Coturnix japonica: one gene and its partner. The protein of the gene in region 1 purifies or fractionates together with the protein of each later gene. This does not show direct contact. Links are inferred from orthologs where the notes say so. Each region holds a gene or a part of one and is shown in the gene's direction. Other genes may lie near its edges.

Region 1 (7,715 bases):
ACGAAGGTTAATCAGGGTGAACTGAAGGACATCATATTTGAGGGGAAGATGCCCGTAGTGCTTCTTGAAGATATTATGGCTGCCAAATCTCCCCAAGTCACTTCTCTGGATGGAAGTGTCACATCAGAAAATGAGACCGTAGAATTGTCCCATGAAGGAGACTCTGTACTTACTAATTCCTCGTTGAGCTCTCTCTCTGTGAGCTCCCCTGAGGCGCAGCCTGTTGCAGAAACCAAGAGAAACACTAGTCCTTTAGCTGTCTCAACGCCTGTTAGGAAGGTTGGTCTCTTTTCTTGGTTGTTTAAGACTTATTACATGGTAGACGGGTTGTTTGTCATGAAAAGGATAAATCAGTTGCAAAGATTGTGAGACCAGATGGAATGTGTTGTCCATCTATTAATAATGTGAGCGAATGATTACCCTCTTGAATCCTTTAAACTGTATGGCTTAAGTCTTGGTTTTGAGTTGCTATGTTTGAATAGCATGAGTGCAGCTCTAAGCTCCTGTTACAGGTTCTTATAGTGATCATGAAGTGTATGCCTTGGGATGTACACCTTACTAATTGGGATAGGGACAGAGCTCAAAACAAGTTCTGTACAATAGATAGTGGTTCATAACCTCCATTCTGTTCTCTCTGTTGCTGAGGGTTTTTTTGTGGGCCATCTTGTTTCCAGCAGCAGCTCTGAGATCTTGAATCCAGGCTGTTAAAAGCACTTTAAGTGAAACTACAGGGCATTAACACAAGTGCAGTTTTCCCTCTGAAGAAAGAGAACGAGCTAAATAAGTCTCAATAGGAATTAAGTGTGTATGGCTTGTGCTGTCAGCCATTTTGTGTGCCCTGTCCAGCATGGGGGTGCTTAAGGGATAAGTCACTGTGTGCTCCTGTGACAATGAGATGTTGCTGAGGGCTGGAGGGGATGGGATGCCTCTGATCTGACAGCCCTGTGTGTGCTGGGGCTTGGGATATATTGTAGCTTCTGGTCACTGCCTGCTCTGTAACAAAAGACCTCTGAACTTTGTGACTTTTGGTGTCGTGCTGAAAGGGAGGCTTTAAAGCCAACAGATGGCTGAAATGGTGACTTGAGTGGTTGGAAAGTGCTCAGTCTTCCTGGGGAGCAGATTGGTGGAGGTGTAAAGGGAGGATGCTCTGGTACACGACACTCAGTTGTGATACCTGTACAGCCCTAAGTTCAACTGAGCTCTCTGACTGCTGTCCTTGCTTGCATTTAACTGCATTATTGGAAGGGAAAACGAGGCAGATGTTCCCAGGTGTACAGAGAACTACCTGGTTCTGACTTCAGGCTGTTAAAACTTGTGATATCACTTTGAAATGCACATACAAACTGAATTAGGCTGTACCATTCTCCTGGTACAGCAGAACAGAAGAGAGCTCTTGACTTTGAATGTAATGTAATCATGTCAACAAGTGATTGGTTTTGCCTGGTACAAGGTGAGGTTGACCTTGTTCATTCTGTTTGCTGGGGTGGGATGTCTGTGCTGGTCTGCACTGTTGTCTGTGCTAGAATGTCTGCTTTCTAAAGCAGAAACACTTCAGTAAAGCAAAGCTCCTAGTTTAGTGTTATTTTGGATCATGTGAGTACAGGATCACCCAATGCAGCTTTACACTCTAAACTTCTGTGTATGAGTACAGAAAATAAAGCATTTGATCTGCTTTAATCACAGGGATAAATGCTCTGCCCTTGCCTGAGAATGGCAGGAGGAAGAGGTGGATACAAGAAGCCAAGACAGAGAGTGCTGAAGTGCTGCTCAGAAACTAATGTGTCAACAAGTGCTACTCTTTAGATACAGAGTACCTTTGTACCTTCTTCCTTTAATGGTTTTAACTGAAAGGAAGGTGTGACCCATAGGGTTGACTGACTGATAGTAGAGGAAGAAGAGGTCTATGGTCACCAGCAGGAACAGCATGGAAGTATAGATAATAGTCCTTATAATTAGGAAGCTGTAGCTAAATAATCTGGCAAAAAGAGCTGGTAGCATCAAAAGTTGATATGGCAAAGTCGCTTCCTTTGGGTTAATGTTATGCTCTCTGTGGTGCTCTTGTGATTTGTGGCAGCTGTACCTCCTGTTTGCTTTTTTGTTCATGGTATTACATTGCAAATGATACTTAAGGACTGAGTAACTAGAAGAGTTTGTTTATGCAAAGTCTAGTAATAGGAGGACCTAATGTAAACTGAAACAATTAGATGCATTCAGGCTTATGTATAAATAAGTGTGATTGGATCTAAGAATGGGAGTTTAAGCATATCTAGCGCTTAAAGAATGCTTGTGTTGCTGAATATGGTATGAAGAAAAAGTCAATGTAATTTAAATGGAGCTTGCTGTTCTTTCTAGGAGTTTTAGTGCCTTGTGAAAAGGGAATGACAGGGATCTATAAAACTTCCTTTTTTTGTGATTTCAGGTATCTCAGAAACTCCACAAAAGTTCTGCAGAGAAGGAGAAGCTGAGATTGCAAAGAGTAAGGCATTTTCACTGACATACAAAGTTAACCTGCTGTGCTTTTGCATTGAATAGTAAGCAAAGCCCCGTGTGTTTCATCTCCATCTACTTATAGCATCTCTTTCCCTGGCTTTCCTCACTGATGAATATGGAAGAGTCTTAATGCATGCGGTTAAAGCACTCGGTTTGTTCCAAAATCTTCTTAATGCATACCTAATGAAGTGTGGGTGGCCTGCACTGCATTTCTGTGTACTTCAGTAGGATATTAAGAAACTCGAAATGTTGCTGACTGCTCATCAAAGTGCTTTTGGGAGTGTTTTCAAACCCTTCCTTAGAGAGTGGTTACCTACATTGTGGACACAAGTGAAATCCTCCAGAGGCTTCTGTTTAGGATTCCTGCCTCACTTCCTCACCCTTCTCCCTTTAAAACACAATAAGTAACATCTGTTTTTTAGCAAAAGGGCCAACGGTTTCATGGCTTGCTGAAGAAACTGTTGGATGTCACTGCTGGAAATCCTTAAGGCTGCAGTATGTGTCCACTCAAATGCTGCTAGTCAGAATATCCGAACAAAATAGCAGTGTAATTTTGCTGTCCCTTCTGTTTTCAGTCATGCAGTGCTAAATACAGAGCAGTCTGTTGGATCACATGGAGATCTCAAGCAGTCAGCCTTGTTTGAGTGGGCTCTGCATGCTGAAAAGCTGGCTGTTATTTTAACAGCAGTTGGGAAGGGCTGTGCTTGTGAATCCTTGCTGTGTTTTGTAGTAACTAATGTATAAATTGGTTGGTTGCAGTTTTTTTATGTAAGCTGTAAGTGGCTGGTTGTGCTCCCTGAGATGCCTTTCAAAGTGCCCCATGTAAAGTTCCAGACTGTTGGATTTCTTTTCCTGTTATTTACTTATGATGTTTATTTATATCAATAGTTACATTTGAGAGAGATGAGAATGTGGAAGCTTTGTGTTGAAAGCTAAATCAACCCACCGCCCCTGTTTGCTTTATACCTCTTCCCAAAGCAACCCAGTAGATCTTCACTGAGTGCTATGACTCAGTTCTGACAGTGTTGCTTTTTAGCATTGGCACAGTTTTGGCATTATTTGTACACTGTGATGCTGTTCAGTAATTTTTCATCCTGCCAACAAGACTTAGATGTGAAATAAACAAAAAGAAATTGGAAATGTACCAGAAGGATGTTTATATCTCTGAGTTCAGACATATCCTAGTTTCCTTTTGGAGTTACCGATATCTACAGGGTAGGGAAATTATTTTCCTTGAATTTGTGGTTATTTTAATTGGTAAGCATACCACGTTCTCATTTGTGTCATAGCATGCGGTTCCTAACTGCAGCTATAGGAGCTGGAACCCATCAGTTCTGTGTTGGATGGGTCAAGAAGTTATGGAGAAGTCATTATGTTACTCAAGTGTGTGTGTGTGGCGGCAGCTATTTCTGTGTACAAAGACACTTAATGGTTTTTCTTGAACTAGGATCAGGAGCGAGCTGACAAGCTGCAGAAGTTACAGGCAGAAAGAGAAGAAAAAGAAAGGCTGAAAGAAGAGGCAAAAGCTGCTAAGGAGAGAGCCAAGGAAGAGGCAAAGAAGAGAAAAGAGGAAGAGAAAGAACTGAAAGAGAAAGAAAGAAGAGAAAAGAAAGAGAAAGAAGAAAAGGAAAAAGCTGAGAAGTTGAGAGTGAAGGAGGAGAAACGCAAGGAGAGGCAGGAAGCCTTGGAGTAAGTGCTAAAGGCCAGGGGGAATCATGTGTGATGTGATACCTTTGTAGACCCACTTTCTGTCCATTTTAGAGGATGAGACAGTAGTACCTATTTGTCACTGAATATGTTCAAAGTGGTTGAAGGACTGACAGATCTTAATCTCAGCACTGCTTTTTGCTTGCTGGTTGAGCTGGGTTTCTGATCTGAAATGGCTGAGAAGAGCTGTCATGAACCACTGAGTTTTCCCTTCCTGACCAGTCTTGCTACTTGCTTTGCATCTGTTGGCACTGCTGTCCTCTGATGAGGAAGTCACTTGTAATGTGATAACTCATTAAATACCTTTTCTTGTTATTGAGGGAAATTTGAAACATCCCGTATACTTTGTGCCCAAAACAGTTTAATCACTGATTTAGGAGGAATGAAGAAGAGTCTTACGCTTATTTCAGTCAAGTGCCATACTTGTTTAACAAATTATCTCAGTGCATAGTGCGATGTGGTCTTAATTAAGTCTTCTCACCTGTCACAGTCCAAGCAGATACTTTGATTTGTGACCAGTGAAATGAACTTTTATATTAAAGGGCAAAACTTGAGGAGAAGAGAAAGAAAGAAGAGGAGAAACGGTTAAAAGAGGAGGAAAAGGTAAATGCTTTCTCTAAGCTCTTCTGTACTGGTGAAATGCTCTGAATGGGTTTTCTGGCACCCTGCTGAGTGCTGCTGAGCTATTCACTATGGAGCTGCTGCTTTACCCTCCTGGGGTATGGGCTTGTCCCTTTGGAACAGGGTCAGTCCAATAGGATCAGATAGTGCCATTCCACCAGATAGATCTTGCAGTTTCCTTGTCTTATTTAAATGCTGCTGTCTCTGTTCTATCTATTAAATTCTTCCTGCATTTGTTGTCTTAGCAATTATGTTGGAATCTGTGTAGGTGTGTTAGAGCAGACAATTACTTTTTTTTTTTTCTTATTGCATCACAGGAGCTGATAAACAACAGAACTTTGTTTTATGCCTCATTAGATTTGAAGTTGGGTCATGCTTGAGTTCACTTTAAATTATGAGGCCTTGTCATACCTTTAATTACAATTTGCATTTTCATTCTGACCTTAGCGTATTAATGCTCAGAAAGCAGAAATTACAAGATTCTTCCAGAAACCAAAGACTCCTCAAGCCCCAAAGGTGAGCTGTTGCCATGCCTTCATTTTATTGGGTTTTCATTAGTCATCTTCTTACAAATACACTTGTTTCCTTTCCCTTAGAGCCCCTTAAGTGTACCAGGTGTTAGTACTTCCTCATTTTAAAACACTGAAGGGTTTAAAAAAAACAAGTCTGTGACCAGATTAAAGATGACAGGAACCTGGAGTTGCTTGAGTAAAATCTCAGCTTTGTATTCTGCTGTATTGGGTGTACAGACCATTAGAGGATGATCTGTTGCAGTCTCTGATAGGAAGGGCTTATTGTAAATCCTCATTCAAATACCAGTAACATGTTGGTTTTTTTCCATAGGTTTATGTTATGAATATGCTAGTACTGTAGTTTCTCAGGTGTTCAGGTCCTAACAATCCTCACTTACCATTTCAGATTCTTGCTGGCTCTTGTGGGAAGTTTGCTCCTTTTGAGATTAAGGAGAACATGGTCTTAGCTCCCCTCTGTCGTATTGCCCTTTACCCAGACTTCTTAGAACAGCTGGATCAGCTCCTGCGTGCACAGAATAGTGAAGTTTCTTTCTTAAGAGATCTCAAATGTCGTAAGCCACGTAGAACTGGACCTACTTTTGTCAATAACAGTACCGACATAGTGAACAGGTCAGTCTATGTATCGGGGCTTTTCTCTACTTGTTTTTGTGATGAAAAGGGGAATGATTCCAAGGAAGGTGTGATAGATGCCTATTGTACTTCTTGAAACTAAGGCAGGGGTGCTGTTGCCCATAGTATTGTTAAGGGGTCAGTAGCTTATATGAAATTCCTGTTCTTGCAACTGAATTGTGAGTGTCCTCATCAATTCAAGTTCTGTGTTGATACTGTGACTGATCTGAAATGTTATAAGAGAGATTATCCTGAGCAGCAGGGGAGCATCCTGTAGGTTCTGAAGATAGTCTTTTGTTTTAACAGTGATGTGGTAGTGGTGGATAACTGCAAAACAGATGCTGTTCCTGAAAGGGGGAAATTTGGCAGAATGAAACTTCTGCAGTTCTGTGAAAATCACCGTCCTGCATATTGGGGTACATGGAACAAGAAAACCACAATGATTCGTCCCAGGAATCCTTGGTCAAAGGACAGTGTAAGTACCTTACAGGCAATGTAGTTGGATTCTTTCTTTATGCTCTTGAAGTGAATACATGGTGATCAGATTTAACTTTTCTTTGGGATCCACTTGTGTGCTCAGTCTTGCTATTGAGTTATGAAGCACTAGATGGACTCTGGCATCATACTTTCAGGCTAACAAGTGGCATATTGGCATTTCTTCTAGAAATTACTGGATTATGAAGTAGATAGTGATGAAGAGTGGGAAGAGGAGGAACCTGGTGAAAGCCTTTCCCATAGTGAAGGGGTAAGGATTCAGTGTACTGAAGAACGGATTTTAGAAACAATTCTATCTGACAGTGCCATGTTTCTAAAGAGCTGAGTTTACTTTGTAGGATGATGAAGAGGAAGGAGAGGATGAAGATGATGACGATGGGTTTTTTGTACCCCATGGGTACCTATCTGAAGATGAAGGAGTGACAGAAGTAAGTGAACCAGGTGTCACTGGATTTCCATCTTTGCTTCCAGCCCATGAAGTACTAAATATTGATACGCGAAGAAGTCATATAGACCTGGCAGCGACCTAACTCACGTTTACTTAGTGCAGGAAAAAACTTGTGTCTCAGGGAACACAACAAGAAGGTGGTTTTTAAAAGTACATCATTAATCTGGCATGGTTGTAACAGGTTTTTTCACCCGTGGCTTTTTAGGAGTGTGATCCAGAGAATCAGAAGGTTCGTCAAAAGCTGAAAGCAAAGGAGTGGGATGAACTCATGGCCAAAGGGAAGAGGCTCCATGTTCTACAGCCTGTGAAAATTGGCTGCATCTGGGAAAGCTCACAGAATGACAGCGGCACAAATGCAGACCTAAAGGTTCTCCAGCAGTTCACAGCGTGTATCCTGGATTCATCTGTTGCTGAGGAAGAACAGCAGATACAGAAATGTAGCAAAAAAAGAGCAAAAGATCAGCAGAGTAAGACATGAAGGGCTAAATTATTTTATGTTCCATTGTATTCCACTTTTGAGACCATAGACATTTCTTTTTAATTGAGCTAAAGCATCAGAATGGTCTGCTTCTATCTAAAATTCAAGCAATCTTTATGTGCTCTCCTGGGATTCAGTTTTCTGGCATTGCACGCTCTATGGCCTTGATTGCTGTCTCCAAAAGCTCTTGATTCAGGTAATCCAGGAAACAGCGCCAACAAGACTTCATTCAGAAGGCTCAGATTAGGACTACTTACTGGAAGTGCTCGAGCCAACTTAGCTGTGTCTCGCTCAGGGAAATAGGATGTATTTTGTTTGTAGTTTCTGTATTGAG
Region 2 (7,771 bases), on another chromosome or scaffold:
GTTAACCAAAGCAGAAGCTTTCTTCCAAAGGTTACTGGTTACACAGATGCTGATGCACTTGGCTCTCCCTAATGCATTGGAAGCAGTGACACCCAAGTTAATTTTGAACAGCTGTAATCAGCAGTTAAGAAATAATCTGAGCAATTTTACAAGAAACAAGCTGTATTTATCAACAATTTATCAGCAGTGTTCTAGAGGAAATCTGCATATAGCTTTGAAGGCCTGATAAGCATGAACCAACTACAGGATCTTAAATTTTAACATTAATTTTTCTCTCATGTTAAGGTTTTAAACAAACAGCTCCCCTTACTATATTTTTTACACATTCTAAATCATCATTGTGCATTAACATGCCAAACTTACCACGCAATCTGTAAGCTTGCCCCATTGCTCGTAGTAATTCCTCAAGCTATCATCTGTTGTTTCAAAGCTCAGACCTCCAATGAACAGCTTTCTCAACTGCTCCTTTTCCCTCTATCACAGAGAAGAGTAGGTTAATATAAAACTTTTTATGACTGCATTTGAAAAAGAACAGAGCTCCAAACAAAGCATCCTCACACCAAGGAACAAGAATCCATTCATACTATCTGATTCTATAACAGATATCATTTATTGTGAAGTACATGGGGATATACCCTGGAATATCTGTCAAAATTATCTCGGATCCAGCAGCACAAGGATTAGTAGTAAATGCATCATTGTACAGATGGGAAAAAATACAAACCCTTATTCTATAAAGCTTCACTTCATAGAATCTTTTGAACAGAATAGGGGAAAGGATGTTGCATTCAAGACTTGAATAAAGCTCCATGTTGGAAGCCAGGCTATCCATAATAACTGCATTTGCTTTTAAAGAGCAAACATGTACCAGACGTCGCAGATAAACAGAACAGCTTCAAGTTCACACATCACTCATCAACCATATACTGCCAGACCTGTATGTGCCCTGGCCAAAGCAAAAGTTAGGCATACGCACAGGCCAGGATATGGCAATATGTCCCTATCACTACACGAATGAAGAACACCATACAATATCCTAAATGCTGCCCCACGGGCTCCAAAAGCAGGCACTGCCTTACACGCGTTAGTTGCACGTCTCTAACCACAACCCCGGCCAGGGCCCAGCTACCTGTGTTAACTGCATTACACTGCAGTTACAACGTGCACCATCATAAACTACTTTAACTACAGTCCTTATTGATATTTGACGAAAACGCAATCCTGGCTCTCAATACAGAAACCAGAAGAAAAAGCAACGCAGCCCATCTTAGCAGCTCCCCAGGATCTTCAACCAGGAGCCAGGCGGGAAGCCCAGCACGGCGCTGCTCCTCCTTCAGCCCGCCCCGCCGCCCATGGACAGAGCGGGGAGGCTCCGCCATGTGGCGGCTCTCAGCAGAGCAGCCCCGCAGCCAGGGAGCAAAATGGCGCCCGGAGCCGCCGCCTGCAGGGCGGGAAAGCGATCCCCGCCGAGCGCCCAGCAGCGCCGGGCGAGCCCTGAGCGCAGCGCAGGATCCAGCTGCCGCTCCGCCACACGCACGGATCGGTTTGCAGCCTCCCTCCCTCCCCCGCTCCCGCTCCTCCCTCCCCCGCCGCTCTCGGCGCCGCCATTTTCCCCCTCCCCCTCCTGCCGCCATTACCGGCAACGGCGCGCCCCGGGCCGCGCTCCCACCGCTCTCCATCGTTGTGCCTAGAGAACAACCCAACTCAGAGCCACCTAGAGAGACACAACCCGCCCCTGCTTGAACAGCAGCACCCGCCGCCCCTCAACAACCCAGCACCGAGCACCGCTTCCAGAACCTTCCTCCCCCGCCGCTGCCCTCCCTCCCTCCCTCCCCCGCGCACAGCGGCCCAACAGCCGCAGCAGCTCTGGTAACCCTCAGCTCCACAAAAACACAACCTACGAGAACACAGAGAGCACTACACCCTTATAAACCGAGCTCCGCAGCGCTCCCCGCACGTACCATGTTCTTCATGGTGGCAGCCCCTGCCCGGCGCAGCGCTCGGCCCTCAGCAATGGCTGCCGCAGCTCTTACGTAATTTGAAATTCAGCTCCGCGCACTACGAGCGCCCTCCTCCTCCTCCTCCTCCTCCTGCTCTACCCGGCCGCACCTCCGGGCTTTAATTAAAAAAATAGCTCGGATTTTAGAGCCTAAATCGGTCCCGAGGGGCTGCGGCTCCGTGCGATACCCCTCTGTTTTTGGCACCTAATAAAAACTCATCGACGCCGTTACTAATGGCCGTCTCCGAAATGAGCCGAACGACTCGTCCTCGCCCGAGCTTATCCGCTTCGCCAGCCGCCGGAAACAGCCGAAAGAGGAACGCCAGCCCGTTCGGCTCGCTTCGGCGATTTCCGGAATCAGCCGACACCGACGAAACAGGCGATCGGCTCAAGTTCGGCAATTTCCGGAAAAAAAAGACGCAGAGCTCACCGACTCCCCCAACCCACTCGGCAATTTCCGACAGCGGAAGGGCTCTCTCATAGGTGCCCGAACAGATCCGAAAAGGCCCGAGCAGACCCGAAGCGGCCCGAGCGTCGCTGGCACAGCGCTCCTTCTTTTTTTTTCCCTCTCTCCGGAAATTGCCGATCGCTGCAGCCCGTAGTGCGGGGTTATAATTAGCCGCAGCGGCCCCGCACCCCACCACCCTCGGCGGGCGGGAGCGCGGTACAACACAACGCAGCTGCTCCCCCTCCACCCTCGGCCCAGGCGGGAGGCAGCGCTGACCTGGAGCTGTGCCCGGCGGACAGCGCTGGGCCCGGCCTCGTTCCGCCGGCAGCCACGCAGCGCTCGCCTCCCTCCCGCCCTCCCCTTTCCTCTCACACGCGGCGAGAAAGGGTGAGTGCTGCCGAGTGCTGCTGGGTGCTGCCGCCCTGCAGCAGCGACACGGCACCGGGGCTCCCGCTTTCTGTCCCCCTGCAGCCCCGCTCTGCTCTCCATTAACCGCCAATAAAGGCCTTTCCCCGGGCCCTCTCCCTCCTTCCCTCCCTGGCGGTGGCGGCCATGATGGCGGCTGCCTCCCGCGTCCCGCCGGCCTCCCTCACCCAGTCGCTTTCTCTGTCTCCGCGAGGCATCTTCCTCCTTTTGGACGCCTGGCGCGGTCCTGCGCTCGCCCCCCGTGGGACAGACGTCTTGGCCCCCTCCTGTGCTGGCGGCGACGACGGGAGGAGGTTGCGGCTGGCGCGTAGGCGGCGTCGTTCGCTCTGCCCCGTCAGCCGCCGGCGCGCTCAGCTCGGCCCAACCCGCCCCGCACCGCCCGTCCCGCCCCGCGCCGCTCCCCGCCCCCTCCCCTCCCCCCTCAGCCCCTCGGATGCCGCCGCTGCCGCCGCCGCTCAGAGCGCGCAGGGCGAGAGCCGGGAGGAGACGGGGGAGCGGCGCGGCCGAGCGGCACTGAAGTCTGTATCCTTCTTTTTCCCCTTCTTTCCTCGTCTCGGCGGCACTCCCCGCTCCCACGTTTACTCCCCGCCGACATCCGCGGGGATGGAGCGCGGGGTGCGGCCGATTTTCCCCCCCCCCCCCCACCACCACCAACCCCTATAGCGCGGCGGCCGCGGGAGGAGTGGGCATGGCGGGAGGGCCCCGCGGGAAGGAAGGAAGGAAGGGAGGAGGAAGGGAGGAGGGAGGGCGGGTGGGCGGCGGGGCCGGGCCGGGCAGACAAAGCCGCCCGCCAGCGCCCGGAGCGGCCTCCGCGGCGGGGAAACGTGGCGGGGCGGGGGGTGGCGGGCATGGCGAGGCGATGCCCCCCCTTCCTCCTCCTTCCCTCCCTCCTTTCCTCCTTCCCTCCCGGCGGCCCGCGGGGCTCCGTTCCTTATGGGTTGGGGGTGGGGGGTATCGGGATCGTTCTTGTGGTTTCTTTCCCCTTTCTCTTTCCGATGGGGACGCGAGGAGCTCTCCCGCTCGGCCCTTTCCGCCGCGCTCCCCCCACCCCCCCCCCTAGCGGGGGGCTGAGCCCTCGGGCCCTGCAGGGCCGTGTGCTGTGCCGTGCTCGGGCCTGTGTGCGATCCGAAGTTTTGTAGTTGGAACGGGGCAGGGATGATAACGTGCTTAAAGAGGTGGTCGGTGTGAGAGGTGTGGTGGTGAAGGGGATGGATGGTGTTGGACTCGCTTGCTTAGGTTAAACGTAGCGTGTGCAGCTTAGCCGAGCTCACGTCGGTGCAGGGCCTTTAATTCGTTCAAACTTGAGAATCGGAGGGCAGCGTTGTGTATTAAAAGAAATATTCGCAGTTTGGAAAGCGGTGGGTGCTCTGTTACACTCCAGACGTGGAGCTGCTCCCCGCCGGATCCACAGTTAACACGTCTAAAGCTATATTTGAGTTAACTGCTGGAATCTGAGCTCCTGTTCTGTTGGGTTGAAGGAAATAAGCATCCCTGATGGTCCTCCCCCTTTTCCCTACAAACGTCTCCGTGCCTTAGAAGGCCTTGGAAAAACCTTTTTTCCCCCCCATCTACCACTTCGTTACTATATATCCCGACTAGGTAAAGGTGTGTTACTGGGTTATGCCGGACAAAGCAGTAAGCTGCTTCTTGTCCTGGATTTAATCCATCCTGTAAATGTTCTATGCCGTGAATACATGGGGGTTGGAACAAGGACCATGTTGTATTGGGATGCCTTTCTTTGAGTAACGTCAACTTCCTTTTAATTGTCATGCATTTTTCTAGTAAAAGCTCTGCAAGTCTGCAATAAAAATGGCCTCCAATAAAACTACATTGGTAAGTTCACGCACACCTAAAGTATGTAAGGATTTAATCAACATATTTTTCTTCAAACTTAATAACTTGGCATCTCCATTTAAAAAGATACATCCACATCTCCCCTCCCCAGCATTTTTCTGACCAAAATTTCAGGTCCAGAAAGTAAGGCTACTAGAAAGGACATACTCTTTGGCTTTAACAAATCTGCCATTTCTACAGAGACTTGTTGGGGAATACCAAAAAAAATCAAGGACTGTGCACTATTTCGTCTGTCCTGTTGTAGAAAGCACTAAGGATTTTTTTTAGCCTCCTTTCAGGATACCATGTAATTCATCGTTTATGTAAAAATAAGTAAAATCATGTATTCGTTTGATTTCTTCTAGTCTATTCAGAGAAATAGAAGAACAAACTGAGTAAAGGCGGTCATACAGAAGAAAAATAACATTACTGGGAAATGATGTGGTGTAGTTAAGATGCCCTTTGAAATTATTATTATTATTATTATCATTTTTTTTACCAAATAACAGTTTATTTGAATTTCATAGGAACAGAAATGATCAGATGTCAACCCCTCCTGAACGATTTTAATGACGCATTCATGGTTCTCAAGTCCCTGTAAAGCTTTGCTTGACGTTAAAATATGAACTTCTAAAGGCAGTTGGTTGCTGGAAAAATGATTTTAATTGCCATTCAACTACTTACTTTATATATAAATACATATATATCGATATATATATATATATATACACATATATGTGTGTGTGTGGAAGAACTGAAGGAATATAGCATGAGATGCATCTGAGGTTGAAGCAGGATGCGTGGATACAATTGGACATTTGGATAGCAGAACAACGGACTTATCATGCACTCAAAAGGCCCGTTCTTAAATTACTCCAATGGTTGCTAATTGACCCACATTGAGGCACGTTAAAAACTCTTCTTAACTCCTGGCTTCGAAGCACAGTGCTTATTTGATATTATATGATGGCAAACCGTTCTAAAGATAACATCGAGATGAATGTCTGAACTTTGTTAGCAATTGATTGTCCACTTTTCCCTATTATGAGGAAGAGGAGCAGTTACCAGCCCAGGGAGGGCCTCAGGGAAGGGAAGGAGTCTGCAACTGCAGTATTTTTGCTATTATGTTCAGAATTTTGCTGCAGGTCAGGAAAAATCAGTTATGGTTCCCATGGGAACCGTAACTAATTCTGCTTCATTGCATATTTGAATGCAAAACTTAGATCTATTGGGGGTAGTGTAGCTCTGGAACTGTAATTCTGCTTTTGTTACCTCACGTATCGTGTAACACTCCATCACAACGTCATGTCTCTGTTCTAGTATTGCCCCTTAAAGAAGGAGTCATTACCCATTGAAAGCCATCTCTGTCTGTCGGATGTGACTTCTGAATGGGGAGCAAGCCTCAGATGAGCATCCAGTGCTTAGATGCCCATGCTAAGGTTTAGAATGGGTAATCCTAAAGGAGGGAGCTTCAGTGGACGCTTCTGCCCTTCATTCTGGGTCAGCTGCTACGTTCACCTCCAGGCTGAGATTTACATTGCTTTGTATAATCTCAGGATTTACCATTCTTCAGTGTTTCTTCAGGCTCTGCTGTCAGATATTATTTGAGTGGGTTAAATAGGCTGAGGAAGTGCTTGGAAAGTAGCGTTAACCAGAAGATGTAGTGAAACCTTTAATACTTAGAGCAAAAAGCAACGCAACCTTGACTTTGTTGTTGCTTACTGGCCTTTGAGATAAAGGATCAGATCCTGTAATACTCATTTTCTTCTGTGGAAGATTCTGTAGATACCTACAATCCTAGAGAGTTGGTGTTTCTTTTAAATAGACATTAATTTGATACAGAGATCCAAAACATTGAGGTGATGAGAATGACCAAAGCTGAGAACAGGTATCAGAAAACAGCCTTCCATTGAACCAAAGGGATTTTAGTCCAGTGGAGAGCACAGATGGAGATGTTCCACTTGTAGCCCACCTGTCTCAACACCAGTAATTAGAATGTTGTTAGCATGGTATAGTGAGTCTTTTCTCCTTTCCCGCCCCCCACCCACCCCTCCCTGTTTTCTTCATCTCATTTCTCTTTATAATGCTTTCATTTATTGCAGTCAGCAGCCTTCATAGACAAGTTGGATGTTTTCATATGTTTGTGTTCATTTACTTCCAGTCCTGCATTCTTTTTTTTTTCCCCCTGTGGAGGCAAAAAAAAGCCAGTGTGGTTGGTACTTCTCAGACATAAATACTGGGTTCAAAATACACCTGGGACGTGCAGGTAGTTATTACCAAAATAGAAATACGTGCTCTGTTTTAAATAATCTCTTTTCTATTCCCAACTCCAAACAAGTGTCGCACGAGATGTAACCATATGTGGAAACTCACTGTTTGAAGGGGGAACTTGAACCTTTTCCTCATCTTTGCTTTCTTGCACCTTCAATTCGTGGCTTGCTAACAAAAGTAAGGGTGTCTGGGGGAGAAGTTAATGCAGAAACAAAAGGAAGAACACAACAGATAGGCTTGGAAAGACAGCTCAGCTTCTTCGCTTTGTGAAAAACAAGAGTTTTCTTTGCATCTGACAGACACTTTTTCCCCTTCCTTTTACCACACTGAGAAATAATCCTGCAAAATCTCAAAATCAGTTTCAAAATGGCTTCGCAATACGCTCAAACTAACCCACGTTCAGTCTAGAGAGGACTAGAAAAGTGCCATGAAGTAAATGCAGGTGCTCCATGACTTCTGCTTGCCTGCTTCTGTCGTGTAGGAAGCGCATTAGTGAGGAAGTAGCTTTGTCTGCTTTAAGGTGCTGCATGACTGTACGCTCTCAGAGCTTTATACTGTCCCCATTAATTTATGGCTGCCATTTGAACAATTTTTCCTATAAGGAGCAATCCAAAATGGCCATCAGACCGTTTTTGGTCCGTTGGTGCTCCAGATAATGGGATACGACAAGATTCTAGACACGTCCTGACCTTTTCCAGATTGCAAACAAGGAAATTCTGAAAGGTGTCCTTCTATCAATATTGAGTTGTGCCTTATTAAACTGGGAATGCCTTGAGGATGATGTGGATGTAATA

Evidence for each region.
Region 2: the proteins of CHAF1A (region 1) and CBX3 purify together in Homo sapiens (affinity purification with mass spectrometry; 5 studies listed by BioGRID and IntAct, with this or other methods). This does not show direct contact. The link is inferred for Coturnix japonica from reciprocal best matches to the Homo sapiens genes CHAF1A and CBX3.

What each region holds. Positions count from the first base shown.
Region 1 is NC_029543.1:1,628,594-1,636,308, forward strand, and holds part of CHAF1A (chromatin assembly factor 1 subunit A), read left to right. Parts: coding exon 1-279; intron 280-2,419; coding exon 2,420-2,476; intron 2,477-3,937; coding exon 3,938-4,179; intron 4,180-4,739; coding exon 4,740-4,800; intron 4,801-5,265; coding exon 5,266-5,334; intron 5,335-5,736; coding exon 5,737-5,960; intron 5,961-6,266; coding exon 6,267-6,435; intron 6,436-6,624; coding exon 6,625-6,705; intron 6,706-6,793; coding exon 6,794-6,883; intron 6,884-7,108; coding exon 7,109-7,370; intron 7,371-7,715. UniProt on the Homo sapiens protein: Acts as a component of the histone chaperone complex chromatin assembly factor 1 (CAF-1), which assembles histone octamers onto DNA during replication and repair.
Region 2 is NC_029517.1:29,451,411-29,459,181, forward strand, and holds the start of CBX3 (chromobox protein homolog 3), read left to right. Parts: upstream 1-3,278; 5' UTR 3,279-3,391; intron 3,392-4,655; 5' UTR 4,656-4,682; coding exon 4,683-4,706; intron 4,707-7,771. Other genes in the region: HNRNPA2B1 (heterogeneous nuclear ribonucleoproteins A2/B1), read right to left, coding at 364-474, 3,041-3,070.